Linked DNA regions of Elephas maximus indicus. The protein of the gene in region 1 binds, or shares a complex with, the protein of each later gene. Links are inferred from orthologs where the notes say so. Each region holds a gene or a part of one and is shown in the gene's direction. Other genes may lie near its edges.

The links. The genes of interacting proteins can lie anywhere in the genome.
Region 2: the proteins of SYK (region 1) and TYROBP are in contact, whole or in part, in a crystal structure (PDB 7Q5W), measured with the Homo sapiens proteins. The link is inferred for Elephas maximus indicus from reciprocal best matches to the Homo sapiens genes SYK and TYROBP. Residues at the interface, in NP_001167638.1 of Homo sapiens: Arg22, Arg42, Asn46, His62, His63, Tyr64, Thr65, Ile76, Ala77, Gly78, Gly79, His92, Asp97, Gly98, Leu99, Arg175, Arg195, Arg197, Lys212, Leu214, His215, Tyr216, Arg217, Ile228, Pro229, Glu230, Gly231, Lys232, His243, Lys247; in NP_003323.1 of Homo sapiens: Pro90, Tyr91, Gln92, Glu93, Leu94, Gln95, Arg98, Ser99, Asp100, Val101, Tyr102, Ser103, Asp104, Leu105, Asn106.

Annotation. Positions count from the first base shown.
Region 1 is NC_064827.1:118,741,078-118,748,240, reverse strand, and holds the start of SYK (tyrosine-protein kinase SYK), read left to right. Parts: upstream 1-4,112; 5' UTR 4,113-5,406; coding exon 5,407-5,463; intron 5,464-7,163. UniProt on the Homo sapiens protein: Non-receptor tyrosine kinase which mediates signal transduction downstream of a variety of transmembrane receptors including classical immunoreceptors like the B-cell receptor (BCR).
Region 2 is NC_064829.1:115,010,638-115,017,821, reverse strand, and holds the start of TYROBP (TYRO protein tyrosine kinase-binding protein), read left to right. Parts: upstream 1-4,125; 5' UTR 4,126-4,259; intron 4,260-5,265; 5' UTR 5,266-5,322; coding exon 5,323-5,383; intron 5,384-5,753; coding exon 5,754-5,780; intron 5,781-5,935; coding exon 5,936-6,070; intron 6,071-6,250; coding exon 6,251-6,297; intron 6,298-7,065; coding exon 7,066-7,131; 3' UTR 7,132-7,184. UniProt on the Homo sapiens protein: Adapter protein which non-covalently associates with activating receptors found on the surface of a variety of immune cells to mediate signaling and cell activation following ligand binding by the receptors.

The DNA of each region.
Region 1 (7,163 bases):
TGCCCGGTCCTGCACCATCATCACGATGGTTGTTATGCTTGAGCCCATTGTTGCAGTCACTGTGCCAGTCAATTGTCAAGAGTCAATTAGAATTCTTGTGTCAGATAATATATTTTGTTTCTCTTATTTACAAAGCAGGGAAATAATTTTTAAAATCAAATTACATTTGACTGTCTTTGTAAGAGACATGATTTTGAATCCAATGAACTATTTTATAATATGGTGAAACTCTCTTAGCCTTGTGTTTTATATTAACTCATTAAATGGGTAGCTTTTTTCTTTTAATCGTGCTTTAAGTGAAAGTTTAAATTCAAGTCAGTTTCTCATACAAAAACTTATACACACATTGTTATGTGACCCTAGTTGCTCTCCCTATAACGTGACAGCACACTCTCTACCCTCTATTTCCCATGTCTCTTCAACCAGCTCTTGCCCCCATCTGCTTTCTCATCTCGCCTCCAGATAGGAGCTGCCTACATAGTCTCATGTGTCTACATGAGCCGAGAATCTCACTCCTCACCAGTATCATTTTATGTCTTATAGTCCAGTCTATTCTTTGTCTGAAGAGTTGGCTTCAGGAATGGTTTTAGCTTTGAGGTAACAGAGAGTCCAGGTGCCATTCCCTCTGGGGTCCCTGCAGTCTCAGTCAGACCATTAAGTCTGGTCTTTTTTTTTTTTTTTAGTCAATCACCCAATTTTATCAGATCTTAATATTCTGTCACACTTGCTTTATATTCCATGATCTTTTTTTTTTTATTGTGCTTTAAGTGAAAGTTTGCAGTTCAAGTCAGTTTCTCATACAAAAACTTATACACATTGTTATGTAACCCTAGCTGCTGTCACTGTAATGTGACAGCACACTCCTCCTCTCCACTCTGTATTTCCCATGTCCATTCAACCAGCTCCTGTCCCCCTCTGCCTTCTCATCTCACCCATGGACAGGAACTGCCCACAGTCTCATGAGTCTACTTGAGCTTAGAAGCACACTCCTCACCAGTATCAATTTGCGTCTTATAGTGCAGTCTAATCTTTGTCTGAAGAGTTGGCTTCGGGAATGGTTTTAGCTTTGGGCTAACAGAGAGTCCGGGGGCCATGACCTCTGGGGTCCCTCCAGTCTCAGTCAGACCATTAAGTCTGGTCTTTTTACTAGAATTTGAGGTCTACAACACACTTTTCTCCTGGTCCATCAGGGATTCTCCGTTGTGTTCCCTGTCAGGTCAGTCATTGGTGGTAGCTGGGCACCACCTAGTTCTTCTGGTCTCAGGCTGATGGAGTCTCTGGTTTATGTGGCCCTTTCTGTCTCTTGGGCCCATATTTTCATTGTGTCCTTGGTGTTCTTCATTCTCCTTTGCTGCAGGTGGGTTGAAACCAGTTGATGCATCTTATATGGCCACTTGCTAGTTTTTAAGACCTCAGATGCCACTCACCAAAGTGGGATGCAGAACATTTTCATAATACACTTTGTTGTGCCTACTGACCTAGATGTCTCCTGAAACCATGGTTCCCAGACCCCCACCCCTGCTACTCTGTCCCTCGAAGTATTTGGTTGTTTTCAGGAAACTTCTTAGCTTTTGGTTTAATCCAGCTCTGCTGACTTCCCCTGTATTATGTGTTGTCCTTCCCTTCACTTAAAATAGTTTTTATCTACTATCTAATTAGTGAATATTCCTCTCCCTCCCTCCCCACCCTTGTAACCATCAAAGAATGTTTTCTTCTGTGTTTAAACCTTTTCTTAAGTTCTTATAATAGTGGTCTCATACAATATTTGTCCTTTTGCAACTGACTAATTTCTATCAGCATAATACCTTCCAGATTCTTCCATTTATAAGATGTTTCATGGATTCATCGTTGTTCTTTATCATTGCATAGTATTCCATTGTGTGAATATACCATAATTTGTTGATCCATTCATCCGTTGGTGGGCATCTTGGTTGTTTCCATCTTTTTGCTATTGTAAACAGTGCTGCAATGAACATGGGCGTGCCTATATCTGTTAAGTGAAGGCTCTTATTTCTCTAGGATGTATTCTAAGAAATAGAATTGCTGGGTCATATGGTACTTCTTTATCTAGCTTTCTAAGGAAGTGCCAAATCGATTTCCAAAGTGGTTGTACCATTTTATATTCCCACCAGCAGTGTATAAGTGTTTCAGCCTTCCACAACCTCTTCAACATTTATGTTTTTTGGATTAATGCCAGCCTTGTTGGGGTGAGATGGTATATCATTGTAGTTTGAATTTGCATTTCTGTAATGGCTAATGATCATGAGCATTTCCACATAAAATGCTGCCTGAATGTCTTCTTTGGTGAAGTGCCTGTTCATATCCTTTGTAAATGGGCAGATTTTTATTGAGCTCATTTTATGTGCCTGGAGTCCCCAGGTAGTACAAATGGTTAACACACCTGACTGCTAACCAAAAGGTTGTGGAGGTGGGAGTCCACCCAGAGGTACCTCAGAAGAAAGACCTGGCCATCTACTTTTGAAAAATCAGCCAATGAAAACGCTATGGAGCACAGTTCTACTTTGACACACATGGACTTAGCATGAGGTAGAGTCGACACAGGAGTTGATGGCAAGTGGTAGCTGGTTCCTGTGTGCCTACCACCATTCTGGAGACCCTTCTGGGTGCCAGGAGTACATTAGTGAGCATGTTGTGAGGCCAGACAAGTTACAGCCATCGGGATTAAAAGCTGTCTGATCAACGTGACATTTCTGTTTAAATTTGGTAGCAAGCCCAGTGAGTTCTCAAAATAAGAACCTTCTGATTATCACAAAAGTGTCTTTCTTGTGAAAGAATACTTTTTCATAGCCATTAAAAAAAAAAAAAAATGTTCCTCTTAACCAGGGACTGATTTTATGGCAGGTTTTACTTTCAGCTGGCAACGATGTAATGCACACCACCAGGATGTCCACAGGGCTGATAATGTTCAGACCCACAGGATGATCACAGGCCATACTGGGCACAGGAACCCCAGCTTCCCAGCAGGGCAGCATCAGGTATCTTCCTGCAGAGGGAGTCTTCGCTGCAGTCCACACCTCTCAGGGCCAAGGAGGCAAGGTCCACATGGAAGCCTGCCCCAGGAGCCATTTCTCTCTAAACAACACTGTAGACATAGTTTCTAGAGTCCTTACAAGAAACAGGCTCAAAGCTCTGGCTTTTTATTAAGTATTTATAGTTCTGCCAGACTGGAAAGAAAGGCATGGCAATCTGCTTCCAAAAATCAGCCAGTGAAAACTCTGTGGTGACAAGGGCCTGATCCACAACTGATCATGGAAATGGTGCGGGATGGCACAGGAATGGGCAGTGTTACTATTACCATAAGCAATGCTGCTTAACTATATAATTGACAGGCTGCCTTATCAGGTTACCTGGGGAACAAGGCTGGAGAGCTAACCAGAAGTCAGGTTCTTTTGCAGAAGGGAATAGATTCTGTTAACCTATTGCCCATATTTAACACTAACTTGTTTTTTAAAATACGTAAGTCGTCGTTTCTTTACAACATTGTTCTTCGTACAGCCATATGAACCCCGGCCCTTGTTTATTTGCTTAATATATGCTTTCCCCAGGAGAATGTTTCCATGGATGGTGGGAGCCGTTGGCCCTGGAGGGGAGATGTATTTTATCACTGGAATCATTTTCAATTGTTGTGGCGTGGTAATGCTGTTATTGTTTCCCAGGGCCAGCTATTCCCACGGCCCCAGCTGTGGCATGGGCCCCAGTCCTTCTTATTTTCTGCTGGGAACCCAGCACCTAGAACATGCCTGACACATGGGAGGTTCATGGATGCTAAAAGAAGTGAATGTGGAATGCTGATTGGCACGTTCTGCTTTATTTTTAAAAATCGTACTTTATAAATTAAGCTGTTTGAGTATCTCCACATGTATCTTACTTCATGTAGCATTTTATAGAAATTCTCGTCATAGCCAACCTCTGTATGAACTAGTGTGTATAAAAACCAGTGTCACTGGAACTGTACTATTACAGATAATAAATTGGTGTTTTTTGAAAATCGGTTACCCTCTAAGGAACAAAATTTATGTTTGAAGTATATTCTATTATTTGAATAATATTCTGAATGTAATATTTGCTTATTGAAGGATTCTATGGCCAAAAAATTGAATGACATAGGAAGTATCAAAAGAAGATGGAAGGAATATGCAGAGTAACTGTACCAAAAAGAATTGGTTGACATTTATTTCTGGAGGCAGCATATGACCAAGAACTGATGGTACTGAAGGAAGAAGTCCAAGCTGCACTAAGGGTATTGGCAAAAAAAGCAAGGCTCCAGGAATTGACAGAACACCAACTGAAATATTTCAACAAATGGATGTAATGCTGGAAGTCCTCACTTATCTACGCCAAGAAATTTGTTAGACAGCTACCTGGCCAACCAACTGGAAGAGATCCATATCTGTGCCCATTCTGAGGAGAGGTGGTCCAACGGAATGTGGAAATTATAGAACAATATCATTAATATCATATGCAGGTAAAATTTTGCTGAAGATAGCTCAAGAACAGTTGTAGCAGTACAGCAGCAGGGGACTACCAGAAATTCAAGCCAGATTGAGAAGAGGATGTGAAACTAGGGATATCATTGCTGATATCAGATGGATCTTGGCTGAAAGCAGGTAATACCAGAAAGATGTTTACCTGTATTTTATTGACTATGCAAAGGTATTTGACTATGTGAATCATAATGAATTATGGATAACATTGCAAAGGATGGGAATTCCAGAACATTGAACTGTGCTCAAGAGGAACCTGTGCATAGACCAAGAACAGTCACTGGAACAGAACAAGGGAATACTGCATGGTTTAAAATCAGGAAGGGTGTGTGTCAGGGTTGTATCCTTTTACCATGCTTATTTAATCTGTATGCTGAGCAAATAATCCGAGAAGCTGCACTATTTGTGGAAGAATGGAGCATCAGGATTGGAGGAAGCCTTATTAACAACTGGCGTTATGCAGATGATACAACCTTGCTTGCTGAAAGTGAAATGGATTTGAAGCACTTACTGATGAAGATCAAAGACCACCTCATTACACCTCAACACGAACAAAAATCCTCACAACTGGACCAATAAGCAATACTGTGATAAACGGAGAAAAGATTGAAGCTCTCAAGGATTTCATTTTACTTGAATCCACAATCAGTGCCCATGGAAGCAAAAGTCAAGAAATCAAAAGATGCATTGCATTGGGCAAATCTGCCGCAAAAGACCTCTTTCAAGTATTAAAAAGCGAAGTTGTCACTTTAAGGACTAAGATGCGCCTGACCCAAGCCAAAGTATTTTCAGTCGCCTCATGTGCATGCGAAAACGGAACAATGAATAAAGAAGACCAAAGGAGAATTGATGACTTGAATTATGGTGAAGAATATGAATATTCCAGTGGACTGCCGGAAGAATGAACAAATCTGTCTTGGAAGAAGAACAAGAAGAATGCTCCTTAGAAGTGAGAATGGTGAGATTTTGTCTCACGTACTGTGGACATGTTATCAGGAGGGACTAGTACCAGGAGAAGGACATCATGCTTGGTAAAGTAGAGGGTCAGTGAAAAAGAGGAGGACCCTCGATGAGACGGACTGACACGGTGGCTGCAACAGTGGGTTCAAATGCAGCAACCGGTGTGAGGATTGTCAGGACTGGGCAGTGTTTCGTTATGTTGTGCATGGGGTCGCTGTGAGTCAGAACCGACTCTACTGCACCTAACAACAACAACAGCAATATTGACTTCCTAAATTTTTCTTTGTACACTCTCTTTTCTTTTAATTTTGTAATGAAAAATTTCATATAAACATGTTGAATACTCATACTTAAGAAACTTAAACCATTCAGAGAGTTTATAACAAAAAGGAAGACTCTACTAGCACACTCTTCTTTTCCCCCCGTTGTGCTCCAGGAGGCTCCCTTTTTTTTTTTTTTTAAAGTGTAGTAATTTTATCACTTTTATTTAAATGATTTATGCCCTCTATAAAATCTCTCAAGCAATCTACAAAAGTATGTTAAGAAATTTCCCTAATTCTTACCATAACAAAACGACGAGTAGTGACTTTAATGAATGTTATTTCAGATAGGTCTTTTTTGCAAATACACAGATGGATGGATGGATGGATGGATGGATGGATGGATGGATGGATGGATGGATGGATGGATGGATGGATGGATGGATGGATGGATGGATGGATGGATGGATGGATGGATGGATGGATGGATGGATGGATGGATGGATGGATGGATGGATGGATGGATGGATGGATGGATGGGTGGATGGATGGATGGGTGGATGGGTGGATGGATGGATGGAAAGGAAAGAATCATGGTATACATAAGTTTTTTCAATTTAACAGATTATTTTAGAACTTATTTTACTTGAATTTAATAAAGGAGAAAGAAACTGAAATGACAACAAAGGAGCTGAAAACATTAAAAAAATGTTTCTTCACCGTATGAAATATTATTATCCTTAAGATCTTTTGATGGTTAAGAAAAAAAAACATCATGAGACCATTGCTTGGCTAAGCATTGTCCTTTAAAAAACCTATTCCTGCTTAAAGAGTATTCATTGGCTCTTTTTTATGAAAAATGAAGTGACAAATATTTTTATATTCACATGTTCTGACGTGTGTTCCTTATGTTTATTTTTTTAATTTCTCAAAGTTACTAACAATTACATATGTACATATTCATTTGTTGGCATTTATAAACATTTGTGTTGTGTTCTGAAACCAAAAACACCTTTCTTTTTTAATATTTATATTTAAATATATTTCACTGCTCACCACCATGTTTTTCACCATGCTACGTCCATTCCTGATTTATTTATTTTGATAGAGTCCCTGACTGGCAGGTTTTATTGTTGAGTAGTTTTTGTTTGTTTTATTTTTACTTTTTTTTTTTTTATTCATTTCACCCATTCTTTGATATTTGAGAATGCCTGCATATTGCAGGTTGTTAATGAGCCTTCCTCCAATCCTGATGCCACATTCTACCTATAGTCCAGTTTCTCACATTTTTTGCTCGGCATACAGATTAAATAAGTATGGTGAAAGGATACAACCCTGACACACACCTTTCTTGATTTTAGACCATGCAGTATTTCTTTGTTCTGTTCTGGTGGCAGCCTCTTTGTCTGTATACAGTTTCCACATGAGCACAGTTAAG
Region 2 (7,184 bases), on another chromosome or scaffold:
TTAGCATTTAAGACCTCAGACGCCACATTTCAAAGTGGGATGCAGAATGATTTCATACTGCCAAACACCTCACAAAATTTGTTTTCTTGGTTTGGAGGTTTAGGGTCATGGTTTCATGAGATGTTCCACTCCTTTAGCCTAATAACGATTTTAGTGCTTCTGTTCTACCTGTCGTATAGTTCCTGGGGTCTTAAAAGCTTGCCAGTAGCCATCCAAAGTACAACAATTGGTCTCTATTCACCTGGAACACCAGAAGAAGCAGGAGGGTCAGGATTCTGAGGAGGAACTGGAATGCAGGCCTAACTGCCTCCATGAACTACTGCCTCCTTTGCCATGAGACTAGAAGAACTGGATGGTGCCCAGCTACCATTTCTGGGCATTTTGTTCAAAGATTCTATAGAAGAATTCTGATCAAAAGGGGAAAAAAAATGTGGCACAGAATTTAAAAGTCTAATGGAATCCAGAATTTCTAGAGCCATTGAAGCTGGGTGACTCCATGAAACTGTTGCCCTGAGGAAATCTTTAAACCTTAAACCTCAAACCTCAAGCCAGAATTAGTTCCTTAAGTCTTCTTTAAACCAAACGATAGTTTAGCGTAATTAGAAGAGAATGTCTGTTTGAGCATTGTGTTCTTTTAAAGAATTATTTATATGTGATCAACTTGTTAACAGCAACTCAAAAGGTTAGATGAGAAGCTTAGGGGGTGGTGAGTTTGTATTAACGATGGTAAAACATATGGAAAAAGATATCAAGGAAGGTGGCACAATTTGAAGAATATAACCAATATCACCGAATTGTACATATAGGAATTGTTGAATTGGTGTATGTTTTGTTTTGCATATTTTCACCAAAAAAATAGAGGAAGAAATAGTGGCCATGTCTGGGATACCTTTAAACCTCTCAGAGACAAGGAGCCATGTTTAATTCAACCTGTTACCACTGGTGGTCATTTAGTCCAACACCCAATGAATATTTAGTGAGCGCCTACTCTGCGCTGGGAGCCCTGGTGGCACGGTGGTTAAGAGCTTGGCCGCTAACCAAAAGCTCAGCATTGGAATCCACCAGTTGATCCTTGGAAGCCTGATGGGCAGTTGTAGTCTGTCCTACAGGGTTGCTATGAGTCGGAACTGACTCGACAGCACCGGGTGTCAGTACTGTGTGCTGAGAATACAACAGTGAACAAGGCAGAAAGGTACCTGTTCTCATGGAGTTTCCATTCCAGAGGAAGTGGCGAATGGTAAAAACAGGAACCCATCAGTCAGAATTTCAGGTATGACAAATACCAGAAAGAAAAATTAAACTGGGGGTGGGAGGTGACTTCAGTTGTGGTGGTCAGGGCAAGCCTCTGTGAGAGAGTGACATTTGAGTTCATGAGAAAAGACCAGTTATACAAAGATTTTGGGAAAAACCGCATAGGCAGGAACAACAGCAAGTACGGAGGCCCTGAGGTGTGAATACCAAGAAGAAAAAACAAACCTGTTGCCGTGGAGTCGATGCCAACTCACAGCAACCCTATAGGACAGAGTAGAACTGCCCCATAGGGTTTCCAGGGAGCAGCTGGTGGATTCCAACTGCCAGCCTTTTGGTTAGCAGCCGAGGCCCCTAACCACTGCACCACCAGGGGCTCCGTGAGGTGTGGATAAGCTTGGCTCATTCAAGAAACAGCAAGCAGGCTGGAGTAGCTGGAATAGAGTGTGTGAGGGGAGAGAGGTGGGAGGGGAGGGCAGGGAGATGGTTGGGGGAAGGATCTTGTGGGCCTCACCCGTCTTTATGGAATCACAGGTTTTTATTTTTCTTGGTTAAATACCTAATAGTGGAATTGCTCCATCGCTGGATAGGCGAATGTTTAACTATCTAAGAAACCGCCGATCTGTGTTCCAAAGTGCTTGCGCTCCCTTATTCCTGTCGTTCCGGAGCCTCGCTGACACTCGATGGGGTCAGTCCTTTTCTTGTTAGTCATCCTGGTGGGCGTGTAGTGTACTTCACTGCGGTTACACTTTGCATTTCCTTAATGACTAATGCCGCCGAGTGCTCCTCTCATGCTTATCGGCCATTTGTATCTATCTCTTATGACACGTCTGTTCAAGTCTTTCGGTGGTTTAAAAAATTACTTTTAAAAAGCTCCTTCAGGCCATCGAGGGGTGAAAGTGGAAGCAGGGAGAGAGGGAGGGGCTGTGACTTCCACAGAGACCAGCACCCTACAGGCTCAACACAGCCTAGTTTCTGGGAAAGTCGGCTTTGGCCTTCCCCAGCCGCTTGACTCTTGGGCTGCTGCCAGGAGAGGCTGAGATACTTTAAAGATCTTGCCTGGGGGCCCTCAGCCCTGTTTCCTGGGGCCAGGCAGGCACTATGGGGGTGGGGTGGGAGGAGCAGCACCCAGTCAGCCAGGTGACCTCCACAGCTGCCTCTGCTCTCACCAGTACAGGGGCCTTACCCGTCCCTGGAGCAGAGACCAGCCGGGTCTGCATTCCACTCCCTGCACCAGCCTGTCACCTCATCAGGGCCCCTGCCCGGGAGCAGTCTAGCCAACAAAACCTACTCCACGTCAGAAAGAGTGAGAAAGTTTGTTCAGGAGATGTTTGCATCACCGGGGACCCGGCAGCAACACAGGCTGTCTCTATGGAGTCCCAAAGAGCAGTTTTACGTCAGAGCTTATATAGAGTCTTACAAAGCTTCCAAGTGTTTTTGTATGCAGATGGCCTGGCCAGAGGAGTTATTCATCACAAGATAGATAGTGACAAAAGACTCTTTATCAGAGTAAAGACACACAAGCCCTCTTTATCAGGCTAAAGACAGACATATCAAACACCTGGGTCGAAAGTCACAGGTGGTCGGACAGAACAAAACAAAGTTATTTGCATCAGATTAAAACAAAGAACAAAATCATTAGCATTAGGTCAAAACAAAGTCCTTAATGAAGGTATGCGAAGGAGGAGGCAAGCAGAGGACAAAGAAAAACTTATAGGTTCATCATGGCGTTAGTTATGTCAAGCTCTCAGTCGCTCGTTTTGAAAAAGGAGAAACCATGCTGGGGAGTATTAGGGTCACAAGCGTAGTTGTACCGCTTATTAAAATACTGAAGTCCTTCACTTCTGGTTGGTAAAGAACCTCTTCCCCACAGGGCGCAAATGCCCCTGGCACCCCAGCCTGTTCCCTAGGGCCCCTTGGACTTCCCCACATTTGGGGTTTGATCAAATGTCGTCTGGGGACAGCCCAGACCTGGCCAGAGTTGGGAGGAGCAGATAAGTGGCTGACACTGATGGGTTGAGGGAGAATTTTGGTCAAGGTGAGCCCAGAACTGAAGATTTAAAATAATACCCAACAGTGACCATGGAAAGAAACCCTGGTGGCACAGTGGTTAAGAGCTCCACTGCTAACCAAAAGGTCGGCAGTTCGAATCCCCCAGGTGCTCCCCGGAAACTCTATGGGGCAGTTCTACTCTGTCCTATAGGGTCGCTAAGTGTTGGCATGGACTCGATGGCACTGGGTTTGGTTTTTTTTTGGTTGGACAGTGACGCTAATAATGGTGATTTCCGTTTACTGCACACAAACAGTACGCTGGCACTGCTCTAACATTTTATGTGAAACCTCACCAAACCTTCATAGTAACCTGGACCATCACAGCAGCCTGGTCTCCTCGCTCCTGTCCCTGCCCGCAGAGCTCTTCCCCACACGGAGCCGTGGGAGCCTGTGACCACCTGAGTCACATCACAGCCCTCCTGGCTCAGGGCTCCCCAAGCCTCTGCTCTCCCCTGTGCTCACTCCAGCCACGAGGAGGGTCACGGTGGGCCCTAAGGTGGGCTCTACGCTCACCTTACAGGAGGGATTTAGGTTCTTTAGTGACAGGACTTGGCCAGGCTGGGGCAGTGGCGGTGGCCATTAGCAGCCAGCGATGCCTCAGCCTGAGCCCTGACCCTCCTCCAGACCACAAACCCTGCCCCTGCTGGCCACCCAGCGTCTGCCCACGCCAGCATCCAGTTTCCCCTTTTCTGTCCAGAGCCTTGGCCCAGGGAACTGTGGGATGTGGCAATAGGACGGGGGAGGGGGCTTCCTGCAGCTGGCCCATCCCCCCAGCACCCTAACCTCAGGTTCCTTCTTCCTGGGCTTCAGCTGGGGCTAGATGTTCCCGCTTCCTCCCGGGTGACCTGTCTCAGTCCTCTTCCCAGCCACTTCTTTGTTCGGTGGGACGGCCCAGCTTGGCACAGTGGTCACTACGTTGTCCCGCCACGTGGCTCCCCCCAGGCTCATGTGTCTGTGCGGTGCGTATCTGTGTCACCGTCTACGCTGCTCCCTCTTTCTCTGCCTGGTCATTGTTTTCTCCTTCCCATCTTTCTTCCTGCTTGTTTGCTTTTGGTTTCTGCGGAAGAACCAAAAAACTGCCTTTGGGGACTGGGTTGATTTCCACCTTATTTGCTGTGTGACCTTGGGCAAGTGTCTTTACACCTCTGGAGTGATAAATATTTACCTCAGAAGTGTGTTACAGGCATTAAATGAGTTAGCACTTAAGACAGAGCCTTAAATCATTCTGTCCCACATCCTGATAGCTGTATTTTGTTTTTCCTCAATTTTATTTATTTTGTTGCTGTTGTTGAGAATATACACCGATGACTGTATTTTAATATCCTAAGAACATCGTAAGGTTCTGAATATCAAATAATAATAATTATACCCTTTACCATCAAGTCAATTCCAACTCATAGTGACCCTATAGGTCAGGGTAGAACTGCCCTATAGGGTTTCCAAGGAGTGGCTGGTGGATTTGAATAGCCGACCCTTTGGTTAGCAGCTGAGTTCTTAACCACTGTGCCACCAGGGCTCCCAATTATAATTACAGCCAACACGTGTGAAAGGAAAGCTGACAAGTGTCAGACCCTGTTCTAGGGACATTAATCGATTTAGTCCTTACAACAACCCTATGAAGCAGATACTATTTCATTCACTATTTCACAGACGAGGAAAACCAAGACCCAGAGAGACGGAGTGACTTGCTCAGAATTGCCTAGTCAGGAAGAGGCAGAGGTGGCTTAGGTCAGTCAGCCAGTGACCCTCATGTTAGAATGAAGTCTGGCCCCGATGAGTGAGAGAGGTCAAGAGCTGATAATATGGTGCCCTTTGCCTGCAACGTCCATCCTTTGGGGATGTAGCGTCATCCCTGCGGCGTTTGGGCCTGATTCTTGCTGCTGTTCTCTCTCTGGCCCTCCTCCTATACCGTCCCCTCCTCCCTCCTGCCACCACCCGCCTCAGACTTCCTCCTTCACTTCGTAGGACGCTAAGCCACAGCCACTGGCCCTTAGACTGGTGTCCAGCGGCATCGCCTGCATCATGGTGGGCATCGGACCCTCTGGGAGACTCCTGCTTCTGCCTCTTCTGCTGGCTGTGGGTGGTGAGTCGGGGCCTTCTGCATCTGCCTCTGGGGTCTCAGGTTCAGCTGGGGGCAGGCCAGGGAGCAGGGTAGAAAGAGGAAACCAAAGGGGAAGGTTGGGACAGGAGCCGATCCCCAGGCCCCTAAAGCCTGTGAGTCTCTACCGGAGACTGAGACTCCAAGACTTGGCCTCCGGTGGAAGCAGTGGCAGGGGACATCCAAGGGTGTCACAACAGGACAAGTCAGAGTAGAGGTAACACAGTCCACCAGGTCCCACCAGAAACTGCTTTCTCCCCTTGCCTTCTGGTGTCAGGAAACACCCGCCCCAGCTTCTATCAACACTACCCCGTCACAGTCCCGTATGTCAGCTTACCTTTTTTTCCTTCCTCAGGTCTCAGTCCTGCCCAGGCCCAGAGTGGTAAGAATCCAGACCCTGGTTTCTCTCCCCAGCTCCCGCATCTCTGTCCCTTCCCCAGTCTCTCCAAACCTCCCTCTGCTGGCTACCTGCCCCCCACCCCCACGCCTGCCCAAACTCCTGGCCCCCACTGACTTCCCCTGACCCCTGTGCCACAGAGTGCAAGTGCGCTACAGTTGGCCCTGGTGTGCTGGCTGGAATCGTGCTGGGGGACCTGTTGTTGACACTCCTCATCGCCCTGGCTGTGTACTCTCTGGGCCGGCTGGTCCCTCAGAAACGAGGGGCTGCAGAAAGTGAGTGGGACTGGTGGGAGCTGGCCTGGGACAGTCTGAGGACGTGCCTGGGGGGCAGGTATTAAGTTCCCAGGTCACAACCCACCAAAGGGATGGTGCTGGAGGGGCGGATTTTGAAGCCACAAAGTGATTTCAGTTCAGCACCCTGTCCACCTCCTCCTCTTACGCCCCTTCTCTCAGCAGTGACCCGGAAACAGCGCGTTAATGAGACCGAGTCACCTTACCAGGTGAGTACACAGCTTCTCTTCCTCAAGTCTTAACTCCTGTCCTTAGGGTCCGGGTCCCAAACGCCCCCCTCCATCCCTTCCAGGCCTCAGACTCTCAAACTGCTCCCCCCAATAACTCCCCAAACCCTTGAAGGCAAATAAAAACATGGGGCATTTGTCCAAAACCTGTTTTAACAATGACCTTAGCTTCAGGTTAAAACGTGTGTGGAGGACACTGAGGGGTGAATTTACCTTTGCAAGGCAAGTTGTGCCTTACTCAGAAGGCAGGCTCAGGATTATTTGGGAGAAGGCATTTCGCAGGTGGCCATGGACCAGCAGCAAAGCTTAGGCCCTAGCTGGGCAGATAGACTTGGAGTAAATAAACAAGATAATTTTGGGAGGCATCATAAAGGAAATAAAGCAGGCTGATGTGGTAGTAGCTGGGGTGTCGGGGGAGGAAACTATAGGTGGGGAAATCAAGCAGTGCCTCCATAAGGAGGTGACATTGAGCCACCCATGAGAAGATCTAGGGGATTGGTGTTCCAAGCAGAGAGAAGGGCCCCTCGCAAACGCCCTGAAGCTGGGGCATAACCACGAGGCAGAAGGGGAAGGGGCACACTGAATGCGCTTTAATACAATCCAGACCGCTGCTGTGGGTTTCAAGGTTGAAGAAGCTGGCAGGTGCCTCACAGGCCACTAGGAGAGGCTGGAGTTTGTTCTAAGTTTATTTGGTGGACCCCTTGCACTGATGGTCCCCAACCTGTTCACCCACTGCCCTCATTCCTTTAGGAGCTCCAGGGTCAAAGGTCGGATTTATACAGTGATCTCAACACACAGAAGCCGTATTACAAATGAGCCTGAACCACGGCAGCCATCTGCCTGACGCCTGGATCTAGTCATTCCTGATA